Kluyveromyces lactis: one gene and its partners. The protein of the gene in region 2 interacts with the protein of the main gene of each other region in a biochemical or structural test. Links are inferred from orthologs where the notes say so. Each region holds a gene or a part of one and is shown on either strand. Other genes may lie near its edges.

Evidence for each region.
Region 1: the proteins of UBR2 (region 2) and RPN4 form a complex in vitro, tested with the Saccharomyces cerevisiae proteins (3 studies listed by BioGRID, with this or other methods). The link is inferred for Kluyveromyces lactis from reciprocal best matches to the Saccharomyces cerevisiae genes UBR2 and RPN4.
Region 3: the proteins of UBR2 (region 2) and RAD6 form a complex in vitro, tested with the Saccharomyces cerevisiae proteins (3 studies listed by BioGRID). The link is inferred for Kluyveromyces lactis from reciprocal best matches to the Saccharomyces cerevisiae genes UBR2 and RAD6.

The regions. Positions count from the first base shown.
Region 1 is NC_006039.1:372,003-376,740, reverse strand, and holds RPN4 (stress-regulated transcription factor RPN4), read left to right. Parts: upstream 1-2,293; coding exon 2,294-3,988; downstream 3,989-4,738. Other genes in the region: KLLA0_C04125g (glycosyltransferase family 32 protein), read right to left, coding at 1-1,033; phosphoglycerate mutase family protein GPM3, read right to left, coding at 4,261-4,738. UniProt on the Saccharomyces cerevisiae protein: Acts as a transcriptional activator of a number of genes encoding proteasomal subunits. Binds to a PACE (proteasome-associated control element) DNA sequence 5'-GGTGGCAAA-3'.
Region 2 is NC_006042.1:1,415,078-1,420,747, forward strand, and holds the start of UBR2 (putative ubiquitin-protein ligase UBR2), read left to right. Parts: upstream 1-2,137; coding exon 2,138-5,670. Other genes in the region: E3 ubiquitin-protein ligase UBR1, read right to left, coding at 1-1,216. UniProt on the Saccharomyces cerevisiae protein: E3 ubiquitin-protein ligase which probably functions outside the N-end rule pathway, since it lacks the residues essential for the degradation of N-end rule substrates. Mediates RPN4 ubiquitination and subsequent degradation.
Region 3 is NC_006039.1:502,734-506,065, forward strand, and holds RAD6 (E2 ubiquitin-conjugating protein RAD6), read right to left. Parts: upstream 1,246-3,332; coding exon 751-1,245; downstream 1-750. Other genes in the region: KLLA0_C05610g (uncharacterized protein), read left to right, coding at 11-562; protein kinase PKP2, read right to left, coding at 1,835-3,256. UniProt on the Saccharomyces cerevisiae protein: E2 ubiquitin-conjugating enzyme that accepts ubiquitin from the ubiquitin-activating enzyme E1 and transfers it to a E3 ubiquitin-protein ligase.

The sequences.
Region 1 (4,738 bases), on a different chromosome or scaffold from region 2:
TGTTGGGATCCAGAACACACATATGTTTGTTATTGCAGAGAACCTCGTTGCTTGAACCCTGAATATGATCACTGAAGTTTTCGATGTACCACTGGTTAATAGTTCGGAAAAAGCTATCTGTGAATGAGGCCGGACCAGTCCATTCTATGATACCCTCATACCAATTAGCAGAATCCTTCGACATGTTATAGGCAGGTTGAACGTCGAAAAGGTTCTTGTAACCCATTGGGAAAGTCAATACGTTGGTGGATGGATCATAGTAATACAATGCAAGATCAGCTATCTTTGCAACGACATCTACAAACAATGGATGACCTGGTCTACTCGCTAAAGTCCATTGACATAGGTTTATCCTTCTATTGAAAAGGCCTCTCCAAGTACCAAGATCCCGTTCTTCCTCTATACCAATTATGACACCGACATCAGTCTTGGAGAGATCATTTTCAGCCATCAATGTGGCCAACGGACCATCTGTAAGCCAAGCGTCTATGTTAACAGAAGGTGAAGTATCTATATCGCTGTAATATCCACCTTTCGCCAATAAAACGAGGTATCTAAAATAATCAGCTTTCAAGATCTTTCTCGGCAACGTATCCCAGGTCTGAATAATTTCTGGGAACAGCTTAAATTGGGTACGTACGAATTCATCGATTTCATCATCATCGAGGAAATGGTAATTGAATCCAGATTGGGATGACCAAAGCCTCACGTTTTCCTGGAACCTAACATCAAGATTCTGTTTTGATTTCCAAGATTGCCAGATATCTCTTGGAATCTCATTTTGAGAATTGAAATGTGCCAACAGCCGATGCCTCAGTGATCCTGTGGACCAATCTGCCGGTACAGTTGGTGTATTGACGGATTTATCCCTATTCTGGAATGCGGGAATGTTATGGAATAGGATCCAAAATAGGTAAATTGAAACAATGGACAACAATAAGCATGAGCGGGGTCTAAGGTGTTTCATGGGTAGATGAGAGGACAAGAAAGTCAGGTCAACTGGCCTTGGAACATTCTTTTCTTTTTCCTGCATCTCGTTTGTTTTTGTTTCACATTCCTATTGTCTTTAGTTTAAGTTTTACATTTCCTTAGCCTTGGGAATTTGATACACCACAGATCATAAAGATTAGAGAACAAAGGCCATTACCCATCTGAGGGGGAGGGGGGGGTATACTTTCTACCAAAACTACGTAAGTATGGAGTAACATATTCCAAAGCGTACCTACAAAATAGCAGTCGTATTAGAAGAACAAACGATATTACAAATTGAATATCCAGAACCAATAATATCAGAGAGTACTTTAATGCAGAATCAAAAGTAACTTTCAGTCTTGAATCTTGTCTAACAGATAAAGATAAGTACCTCGTCTAATCTAATTGTATAAACCGGAAATACAACTTAGAACTAAGTTAGATAACAACATACCATTAGCACTCATGCATAATTTAGATTATAAAAGAGTGCTAATGGTATGTCTGGCGACGCCTGAAACATTCCGACGGATCATCACGTGCGTAACACGTGACACAATTGTTTTTTTCTTGGCAGGGTAGTCGCATTAGCGGTAGAACAATCTAGAAAGAAAAAGAAAATGGCAAGCTACCAAATGTTACCCGGAAACAGATAGGGAAAGCCTCACCCCGCCTCCATTAAACGCCGGATTCAGCTTAGGAATTACGTGTTGACAAATACATACGAAACGACAGATCGCCTCAATTACCCAACAAACTGACTTATCAGTTGCATGCTGAGGTAGATTGTCATATACTATAGAGAGAGTCTCTATCACTCCATGGAAATACTGCTACTAAATCCATTGAGTTGAAAGCAGTATCGGGTGCTTGTGCACCCGATACTCTAACCTTTATCTTGCTTTGCTCTTGCTCTTAGTGCTTCCATTTGTCATACGAATGTCTCACAGTGACAATTGTCATTTTTTTCAATTTTGTATCTTTCTTTTCATCGTGTTTTACAGTTCTTCATCCTCTAGAAACAGAAATAGAAATATAAAAGAGCCAAACGAGTTTTCGATATATATATATATCATATTGGTTGGTATAGAGGTACATGAAGCAAGCACGAGCGGATTCTGTACTTTGAAATAAGGAGGTAAGGTATTTAGCTCTCTGTACACCGAAGGCCCTCGTAATTAAAGAACCAGGGATTTGTTCGGGAAAGAATACTGGAAACGGCCTTTCGTTACATTTTTAAGGAAGTAAGCTAATAAGCTCTATTATAAATTAGTAATTGGAGCAAATAAAAAAAGAGACAGACAGAGAGAGGAAACAGACCATGTCAGCTGCAGATTTGGAATTGAGAAGGACTTTGACGGATGTGGTTGATGACGAGTTGAGGATCCACAATACGAACCCGATGTCTTTAGATATGGGGTTCGGTGAAACGCACTACGATTCGTTTCCGCAACTCACGAGGTCACAGGTGCATTCATTCTATACCGGGCCCAATTTTTCGTCGGGACACTCGCAACACCAGTATAATATGGGCCAGCTCATGGGTCATGATCTGCATTTGTCTGATGATGATACTGCAAGTGGGGTGTTCAACAAGTACGCTGATCCCAATTTGACCACTTTAGATAAGAAAAGCGGATGTGCTGTACCTGCCACTGGTCCTGGTCCAACCGCAACTACGGGCCCAGCTGCCATTGTGAAACAGGTTAATTTGAATTTAACTCCAGTGCAGCCAACGATTTCACTTAATACGATTACTCCAAATCCTTTCTTACAGTCTTCGGCAAGATTCCCAAATGCCCAACAGATTCCTCAGAATAATCCAAACAACCACCATAATGGTATGTCGAATGGAAGGTTGAACAGCGTCCGTGGGTTTAACTTCCAAACGAGAATTAACAACGAAAACGGATTCGAAGATGAGTTTTTGAATGAGGGTTATGGTGATTTCAATAACATGTACGAAGAGGATGAGAAATTGACCGCTCAGGCTACGTTATGGGATGACCAAAACATGGCGGGGTATTATTGGACAAATGATCAGGATACCCTGTCTCGTTTTGACCAAGAATTCAACTTCGATGATGATCTTTCGGATGAAGAAGAAGAAGAAGAAGAGGAGGAGGAGAGGGAGTATGAGGAAAATGCAGACGGAGGAAAAAACAACACAGAATTAACAGACAAGATTCTGAATGACTTACAGGACGATTTCTCTGACAGTGAGGAGGTTTCTACCAAATCGAATGAGGAGTCGTTATACATGGATACCCAACAACGATTGAACGAAAACCAACAGAGGGATTTATCGCAGGTAACTGTTCCTCGCATAGAGTCAATCAAGAGTTCTGTACTCGAAGAAAATGAAAAATTAGAAGAAGAAGAGGAAGAAGGTGATGATGAGGGTGACGCTATGTTCAGCGAGGACGATGAGGATCCTTTATACGAACCTGCTCTGGTGAGTCCCAGAAGAAAACCAAGTATGGTTATATCTCAACAGAATTCTAACAAACAAAGACAACTTCTCACCATAAATACTCGGAAATCGCATGAGGTCAGTGATAATAAACTGGATCCAAAATCAACGAACACGACAGGGTCTCGTACCATGACTAGAAATAGAGGTAATCATCAACGTGGTAAATCTGTGGATGCCCTACTAAGCGTCGACCGTTCGTATGGATCCTCAAATACACACACACACATTCATCATTCCCACAACCAGAACGATGAGCATATCTGCATGGTGAACAACCCAGTCACTAACGAACCATGTATGAAGAAGTTTTCAAGACCGTATGATTTAATCAGACACCAAAAAACTATCCATGCTTCTAAGAAGAAAATATTCAGGTGTTTGATCTGCATTCAAGAACTGGGATCTGAAGGCTATCAGAGAACCTTTTCGAGAAATGATGCCCTAAGTAGGCATGTTAAAGTCAAGCATAATCTACAAGGTACCGAAGCACAGCGTGTGATACAATACGCAAAGGACAACGTTGAATATCAGAACTCTTAACTGTAAGGGTATTTAGTTTGGCGAATTGGTTTTTTTCTCTCTACGTTTCTTCGACTTGATCGGAGTTCTGCTCATATATGTAATTCTGTAAATACACCTTGATATATATATTTGCTATAGAGTACTCAATATCGGATGGTATACTATATTTTCTCTGTTCTCAACTCATTTTTTTCTTGCCACAGGAGAATGTACCCCAATTCGATGTCTATAGAAATTATTGATTAACATAGAAAGTTTATAATGTGTGCCGTTGACTTGTATCTATATATTTATTCCTTGAATCCTTCCTGGCGAACTAATTCTGCATTGACTTTGGCACTTTCTGGGTCTAAGTAGAATTTTCTAATAAATCTGAAATTATCATCTAGTTCAATGACTGAAGGAATGGCATTAGGAATATTGACTTCCTTAATGTCAGTATCGCTAATGCCTTCTAAAATCTTTAAGAGTGAACGGACTGTGCTTCCATGACCGACTATAAGGCTGTCACCACGTTCCTTCAAGTTCGGAAGAATCATATTTTCAAGCAATGGTTTCAATCTTTGAACGACATCGCACAAAGACTCACCATTGGGCAATTCATCATGAGTAATCTCTTCCTCCAAATATTTAACATGCCTGTTTGGTTCTTTAAATTCATATCCTGTATCACCTTGGTCGAAATCTTGTACCATCTCCCTGTTTAAATCTGCTTTTGGAGGTTTTCCGAGGTAATCTCTTCTGATATACATATACTGTTCTTCACCA
Region 2 (5,670 bases):
CGATAGACTGATAAAAAGGTTCGTACTTGGAACATAGAACTTTGCCTATAGCATTTCTGAAAAGGCTTTGGAAAGTAGAGTTTGGGATATTCAAACAATCATTAATCCACATTATGCTATACTTACAGGCTTCTTGATGTAGATATTCATACCATTGAGTTATTGTGCAGCTCAACCCGTTACTTTGAACGGAAAAGAATCCTCCCATTAAAGATGCGATATCAGCGCTGCATCTCAACAATGATCTCCCCTCAGAATCGATCTTCGCAGTCAATAAATCAATATGTTTGTTATCAGGCCCACCTTGTCTAATGGCAGCAGAAGCCTGCGAATAGTTATGAAATTCATCGTTGTATACCAAAATAGCATAATCTTTAAGTGTACTCAAGGGATCTAACGATGTAGATGGCGTTTGTTGCTGGGACTCCTCTTCGTCCATGTATTGATTTCTATATGCCAATCGCCTCAGCATGTCAGCTTGTTCATTATATTTCCCGTTCTGGATGAAGTATCTAAGTTTCGCAATGAGTGGTTTTTGAATTGTTGTTAATGGCTCAATGTTTTGGTTGAAGACATCGATGAAATGATCAAATAATTCTATTAGGACGCTTTCTAGCATCTTAGAAATCTTGCCATCATGGTCGTCAAACTCGTCTTCCAAACGACCATTATCTTCAGCACCTTTACAGTTCAATTCATGGTTCCATGCCTCCTTGTCACCACAATCACATATACCGTTATTGAATTCTGTGCAGATCGACGTATATACGTGATGACCAACGTGATCCTTTGGATTGAAACAGTTTACACATAGCACACAAGTATCATCAAATGAACACTCCTTACAACGGTAGATCGGTTCGCCTACTCTAAACTTCGCACCACATATTCTGCCAGCGTGGTTGAATTTCGAATGCCCGCCATTCTCATCGATCTTATACCAGGGTTTCGAACTCAGCTTGATTTCCATTGCTTGGTCGACATTCTTGGGGAATTCACGCTCATTTGTAGCAGTAAACATATGCGGAAGAAGCCTACCACTGTCTGAAATCATATAGTAATAATACCCATATATGAAACTCTTGAGCTCTTTATCCATAACTGCTCTCTCTGCAGATCCCTTTATATCTTTGAATTCAGGCCGAGAATGAATGCAGCCTAAGGTTCGTCCAACATGTTGCCGCAAAAACGACTCTGGGTCAGTATCGTTAATCATATTACCTTAGGGATTGTTCTGATATTGCTATGTTGATGATCAGTTGTTTATACGACAAATCAACCTGTATTGAACCTTTGTCAACTGTGCATTGGCAAGGAAAGTCAAAACTCTTTTCTGATATCGTATTCCTTTTTTTTTTATTGAATCTTTCAGAAGATAAAAATGAATCCTCTCAATGTATGTGGAATTTGACCGAAGCAAAGTGTAAGAAGTACCCTAGAAATAATCATTTCGGTTCCATAAACACAATTGAATCATTTAATAAGCAGGTTATGTTTGGTAGCAAGTGGTACACTGACCATCAATACCTTCTTCTTCAAATAGGTTGTCAAAATAATCTAAATAAAGCATTTCTTTCATGTCTTCGATTTGTAATCCAACGTTGTTCTCAGCACACAATTTAGCGAAGTTATATAAATAAAAAAAACTACGATTAAGTTAGGATTCCAGCTGCAGTTCAACGTCTCGATCCAAAGAAGCTCGCCTGTTTCAAAGTCGTCAGCCCTATAAATCCCTGACTTTTGGTTCAAAAGTAAGTCACGTGACTGATATTCGGTCATGTGACCACGGTCAAACATCAAAATATTTACAATAATAGTCCCTCTATACACTCCATAGACACTACCCAACTGATGCTAACTCCATTGTGATTTTACATCAGGTATCCTAAGATATTCTTTTTTGTGCTCTTCGTACTAATGTTTAAAGGTGGCAAATGCCTCGAATACTTGCTGAAACGAAAAACTGAAAGTAAGACAAGCTTAAAAATGTAAATAGTAAATAGATAAATGGATGCACGTTATATCAAGGGGCGCGCTTCTTGTTTTTGCTCTGTTAATAGTGTTCATTTTAGGTTTGAATGACTAGCAAGCCAAGACCAGAAAGAAGCAGGTATTCTTTTTAGCGAGTCCATTTAAGATGGGCGAATCAGTGCGATGTCTGCGTGATTTTTTGGTTCACTTTGCTCATTTCTGCAGGTACAGATACAATGATATGTGTTCGTTTTACCTTTGGAAGGTTCTACTCACCTGTATGAACCATTGTAATGAGGAAATAAACTGGGAAGATCTTACTCATGTTTTTGGGTTAAATCAGTGGGAAATGGGCGATTTTGGGAAGATCAAATTGAGATCTAACTGGCGTGAGTCACTCATACCGAAAAGGAAACATAACGATCATCGAGGTTCGCAGTGTTCGAAACAGTGCCATGGCACTGAGACCGTTTACTACTGCTTTGATTGTACAAAAAATCCGTTGTATGAAATTTGTGAAGATTGTTTTGATGAGAGTCAGCACATAGGCCACCGATATACATCACGCGTAGTGACGCGGCCAGAGGGGAAAGTATGCCATTGCGGCGACATATCTAGCTATAATGATCCCAAGAAGGCTTTTCAATGTAGGATACAGAGTAACAATGCAGATATTGATGTTACGAACCTACAACTGTACAACGATATGTGGATTTCAACGTTCTCGCAGGTACTCGATTTTATTATTGACTGTTGTTTTGCTTGGATGGATGGCGATGAGAAGATAAAACATGAAGCTGTGGAGTCCATACCGATCAAAGACTCTGTAGGAAATGTAGAATCATTTTCACAAAAGTATGTTCTCGTCTTATACCAGCATGAATGTAACATACATGTGCAAGATGTTGCAAGGAAAATTTCAAGGGCATTGAAGAAGGATATCTCGTTTGGTACGTTCGTACTCTCACAGTTTGATCAAGATGAGCATTTCACCGTTATTGCCGAATCAACCAATAAGGCTTTTATGCTACGATTGAAGCAAGAACTTGAATTACAAGATATACCGACCCATTTGATGAATGAGTCCAACGTTTTTAAAAGGTACATGATAAGTGAACTAGTACGATGGTTACATCATTTTGCCGTTCATAACCCTTCAGTTTTATCTGGAAAATTGTCTCTTAGACTTGCATACATGGATCAATATGTATCCAACCTATTGGCCGTGAAGCCATTCAAAATCAACATTCTTGGGAATTTCATCGTACCACATCAAAAGCATAACTCATTTCCCTGGATCAAACCCTGGAACTTCCAAAGCAACAGTGACGAAACACATGATCCAAACATCACCAATGTCATGCTGATATATGACCAGAAAATTAGAGAAACGGATACCCCCAATACAGCATGCAGATATCTTCCTTTATCAGGTTCTAGATTTCAGTATTTTATCACCGAATGTCTGACTACCTTTTCACAGTTCACGAGAATGAGGTTGTTGGAAGTGTTTGGAAGTATCTTTAGTGTTAGAGACGATTCAAAAAAATGCTTAGCGGCTCAATATTTGGATGTCTATTGTAACATCCTATATCGAACAATAGTCTCTGATGCAAGCGGCTATAAACTAACACTCATGAGCACTCTTTCTCAATATATCTTCCCTTCACCATCAACTGCAAATATGATTATCAATGCTGGCTTCATAGAAAGATGTCTTACTTTCAGTTATTCAATAATGTCTTCGGACTCGGAAATAGTCCCTAATTCACCACCGATTCCATTGAGCTCAGAATTCAAACTACCAGATACGGTTATCAAAAATAAAAAAGCAGTTATATGCTTCAAAGACATTTACCAGGCGATGTGCACTAACACCAAACCTGCATCAGTTTTTGCCAATGAATCCTTAACGAACGCAATGCGCGAATGTTTCTTTTCTTTCAACAAAATATTACCACTAAAGCGAGAAACCTCAGAACATGTCCAGTACGAAAACTTTGATTTTTCCTCATTTTACTTCTTCTTCTCATCCATCTTAATTATGGTTGACGGGTTTCTAAGAAACATATCACTTGTATTGGACCCCATTAAAAGAAAACAATTGGTGTCAACATTGCTCACTACTTCAATCGATAAACACCTCTCCTCATTGGACAAATTTCGTCCATCAATACCCGGAAATACTTCTAACACCTTCAAAACAACTGTGTGCAACGTACAGACTCGAATTTTTAACTTCAAAGTTGGATCAGAAACCCAGAATTTTTTCAATCCGATATCGTATTACATTAAATTCATACTTCAGTGGAGTCAATGTGGCAGATACGAACCCCTTCCAGAGACGCTCAAAGATTACTTCAATTTCAAGGAATTTTTTAAATCTCCAACTGAATGTCTTTGGATAGCAGAACAGGCCCTCTGCACTTTAGTTATGATATCACAGATTGATGTTGGGTTTTGGGTACGCAATGGCTCTCCAATTCAGCATCAATTGAAAATGTATACAAAATACAGCATGCGTGAATTCACTTACTTTAGTGATTTTTTCCTCGTTCAGTTTTCAATGTGTTATGCGGATCCACATGATTTCATGGTTAATTTTCTAACGCGATGGGGACTCAAATACTGGGCAGAAGGAATTCCAATAGGTGACTACCCAGAAGAGAGTTTGACAATCGCCATGACAGAACAATGTTTCCTTACTTTAATACGTTTAATGACAGAAACTAGAGCTCTATGTGCTTCGACTTCAGTTGAAGGTTTCGAAAGTACTATGAAATCAGAAATTATCCACTCTCTCTGTTTTCGAAAGTGCAGTTATAGTTCATTAGTTGAGGCAATCCCTGAACACGTTACTAAGCATCCTGCATTTGACTTGTATTTAAACCAGTACAGTGATTACCATGAGCCGACCGGTAATTTCGATACCGGTACTTACAGTTTGAAAAAACAGTACAGGAAACAGATTGACCCGTTCTTCGTCGGGTTCTCCTCCAATAAGCGCTACGAAGCCACCTTATTAGTCCGTGAAAGGATGAAAGAAACTTACGGGGTTTCTTTTAATGACACATTTGTACAAGCTTCATCAATTCAGGACCAATTAAGGAATACACAATATCAAAACCTTTACCAAATCACTTCTACAGACATTTTTGGCGTGTTCGTGAAGAACACATTGGTTCATATTATGAAAATGAAGCTCGAATCTTTACTAGGCAAAGTTCTTCACTTGATTCATCTTTGTGTTGTCAATAACCTGGCAGACTTTGAACGAATATTTTGGCATGAGTATCATCTTGACGAGTCTGAGAATGGGTTTTATCATAGTATCGGATCTTTACTCTACAATTTTCTATCTTCGGATGACTTTAACGTAGAGAATGGTAAGATCAGAGAGATATTCCGATTTTTGAAAGATCGGGCACCACACATTAATGTGGACGATTACCTCTCAGAACAGACTCCAAATTATGACCCCAGAATTTTGTTCACTGATATAAGTGAATCGGAAAACGAGGAGTACATTAAGAAGAAGATGTTAGCAAAGTCGAGAAGAGAAAAACTTATGCAGAAGCTAGCCAAACAACAAAAGGAATTCATGGATAACAACAATGTTTCTGCAGAGGATATTAGCTCACAAGGAACCAATCTCGATAACTCTGCTATCGGTATATGTTGGACATATCCGGAAGATGA
Region 3 (3,332 bases), on a different chromosome or scaffold from region 2:
TAAGAAGGAGATGCCACGTCCGGTACCCAAGTCTTTACTGCTACGTCAAGCCAGACGTCTTTCTCCGGCAACTCAAGCACCAACCCCAACATTAGGTGCTTTAATATCACAATTCACACTTTCAGATAATTTCGATGAGACAACTTTAGAAGAACAATACGAACAACTGAAGCCTCTTCTGACCAGTATAACATTGACAAATGTGCCCTTTGACACCTGGACTTCCAATGATATTAACGTACTAAAACACCATCTTGATGCAAAGGCACCGCTGCCTTGGAAATTTTTAACCGATGACGAAAAACGAGTGTGGTATCTTTTGGGGTTTGGAACTTGGGGTCCGCGGAAAGAGTTCAATAAGGTAAAACCTAATGACATTCAGTGGAATGCGAATGCTAAGGTAAGTTCCAATCAAAGCGATGTTCCTAAGGTGGTGACACCTATACCGATTTGTTCAAGTGACAGAATCGAATGGGAAAAGAAAAAGAGACAACTAGATCCGCTAACAATATCAGTGGGCGTATTCGCCTCGATGATCACTCTCACAGCATTCCTTGTATAAAGAACTATTCGCATGGATATGACAATTTGTCATTTTGATTAAAGCGGTAACGGGTTGAGATTATTATGTAGATATTTGTATGCGTATATATATATATATATATATATATATATTTCGTGTTACTTGGATGCTTCTCGCTCACAAGGAATACTCCGGTTTAAGAAATTGGATCTAATCAATTTCGATTATCATTCTTCATCTTCGTCTTCGTCTGCCATGTCTTCCATATCATCTTCCCATGACTTTTCTACGGTCTCTTTCACACGTTTCACGTACTGAGATTTGTGATCCTGGAATAAAGTTGCTGCTTCAACGTTAGCAGGCGATGCAGGATTGGGATCATTAAATAACGACTGAATTGACGTTAGAATCGATGCAACGTCATATGTCGGAGTCCATCTATTCTGAAGAATGTCCAAGCAAATCTCACCATTGGCATACACGTTAGGATGGAACATCTCACTCAAGAATTTGACGTGCGGCGGTTTATTTGGATATTCTTCATCGAATTCTAGTAATAATCTAAACGTTCCATCTTCATACGGCGTATCTGCGGGGCCGATAATCATTGCATTCCAGATCATCACATTATCAGGTAGCGGCGACGCAGATACGCCTGGTGGCGAGTCTTCTTTCATTCTTTTGAAGTCTCTCATCAACCTCCTCCTAGCTGGCGTAGACATATTGTAGTATTCTTTCTTAAAACTTATTCCCTTAACACTTAAACAGGGTTCTTGAAAAGTGGCTATAATTTCGTTTAACCAATATTCAATGATTAATTTCTATCAGTACAATGACAATGTTTAACAAACGTCAGTGGTTCCTATAATATTTCGGTTTCCCAGTTGTAAGACTATCCTCTGCTATATCCCACTAATTGTTCAACCAGAGACAAGTTCTTAATAATTATTCGTAATCGGCGTCTCTTATTTCTACAGGAAATCTCAATTCAGTAAAATCAATTTTAAAGAACCACAATAGTATATTTCTTAACGAAAGTAGCTCCAGTAACAAATAATCAAACACACAGAACACTACTTGCCGTGTCTTTAACCACTGGCACCTTTCGTTTAGTCCAATAGTTATTCCAAACGCATCCTGTATCTATTTCAACTTTCTTTCGAAATGTGGCGAAATCTATTTGTGCGGGTAATAATAAAACGCTTTCCTATGCCAAACGACCATAAGTCATCGAATGATGATATAAATAAGTAAATATCGGTATATAGAGTGGTTACTATACATTACTATAAGCATTGCTAACTTGGTTTACTAAACTCTATCCAATTGCAATTTGTCCGTATGCCTCATCAAATTTCCTAGTTTGAGAACGGTATCGGTACCGTAACCTTGAATAGAATGTACGGTCAAATCACCGTTCCAATATTCGGCATATACTTTGCATAGTGCGAGACCAATTCCAAGTTTATATCTGGGAGATCGTTTGAGAAGCTCCATTAGCGGTTGTCCAACTTTAAATTTACCTTTCGTCAAATTGTTTTCTGACATCCGATCTAGCGATGTTTGTCTGTAACGATCTGATTTTAGATGAGCACCGTTAGAAGAATCATATAACGACAAAGTCTGCAATCCAGGCAAGTGATGGAAGTTGTCTAGGGATTGCTTGGCTAGCTCTTTTGATTTACCAAAGGACCATATCTGCTTATCAGAATGTGGCACTCCACCACCTCTATCACTGATTCTGAAAAGATAACTTTGGTCATTCGATATTATAGTTACTGTCACCGGAGGTGCCTTTTCTAGTCCCAATCGTATGGTCTCCTTGACAGTCACTTCGTAGCTGTTTCTTAAGATTTCTCCCAATAGGAACTTTAGATGCGATGGTAGGAAATAGAATTCTAGTTCAGTGTCCCCGTTGATAATCAATTCGGGCATCTTGATGCCCGCAAAATACATATTATTGATGTATGCCTCACATACTTCCCTCGCACCGTTCAAGTACTCCTTGGCGTTACATTTTTGGAAAATATCTCCCAAAACAAGTGTGTTTTCCTTCTTTCCACTTAAATAATTGGATGTGATACTCAAATGTTCTTCTACGATCAACCTTCTACTAATCCGGGCTCTCAATAAATCCGAAATCAATGCATCCATTTTATCCTGAGGGTACAAATCCAGGATTCTACATTCCAAAGCACCCATAATCAAATGAGGCAAGTTCAAAGAGTTGAAATCTGATAAAATCGCATGTAGAAACTGACAAAACTTCAAATTGTCCTTCTCGTCCTTGATCTCCGGGAACTTTCTGAACCTTTCAAAGATGTTATAATATGATTCATACACCTGATTGAAATGGAAATTATTCACTACATCGAAAGGCAAGTTTTGCAATAGGTCTAATTTATGTGCGATACGAACACATAGCTCCTCTTTCACAAATTTCCCAGAAGAAATAATTTTCATCTTCGTTAACTTACTTGAGTCATCGTAATACTGCGCCAACTGTTTCAACGACATTGGATGTGGTTTCTTCTGCAAATACTTCTTAACCAAGACATTATCATTATGGTAGTAATGGTACTGGTTGATATATTTTGATTCTGTGGGATATGCGCTTAAAGTGCTGGAAATGTAGGGTGCAAGCTCATTGATGGACCTCGTTGCAGAATACCGCGAAAAATCAGGCACCTGCGATATATCCAATACTTTCCTTACAACGCTATTCCGTGACATGACAGAATGGTGTGATGAATTAAATTGGATAGTGTTGTATTAATGGTGAATCAATTTTTGCTCCTTCCGTATACAG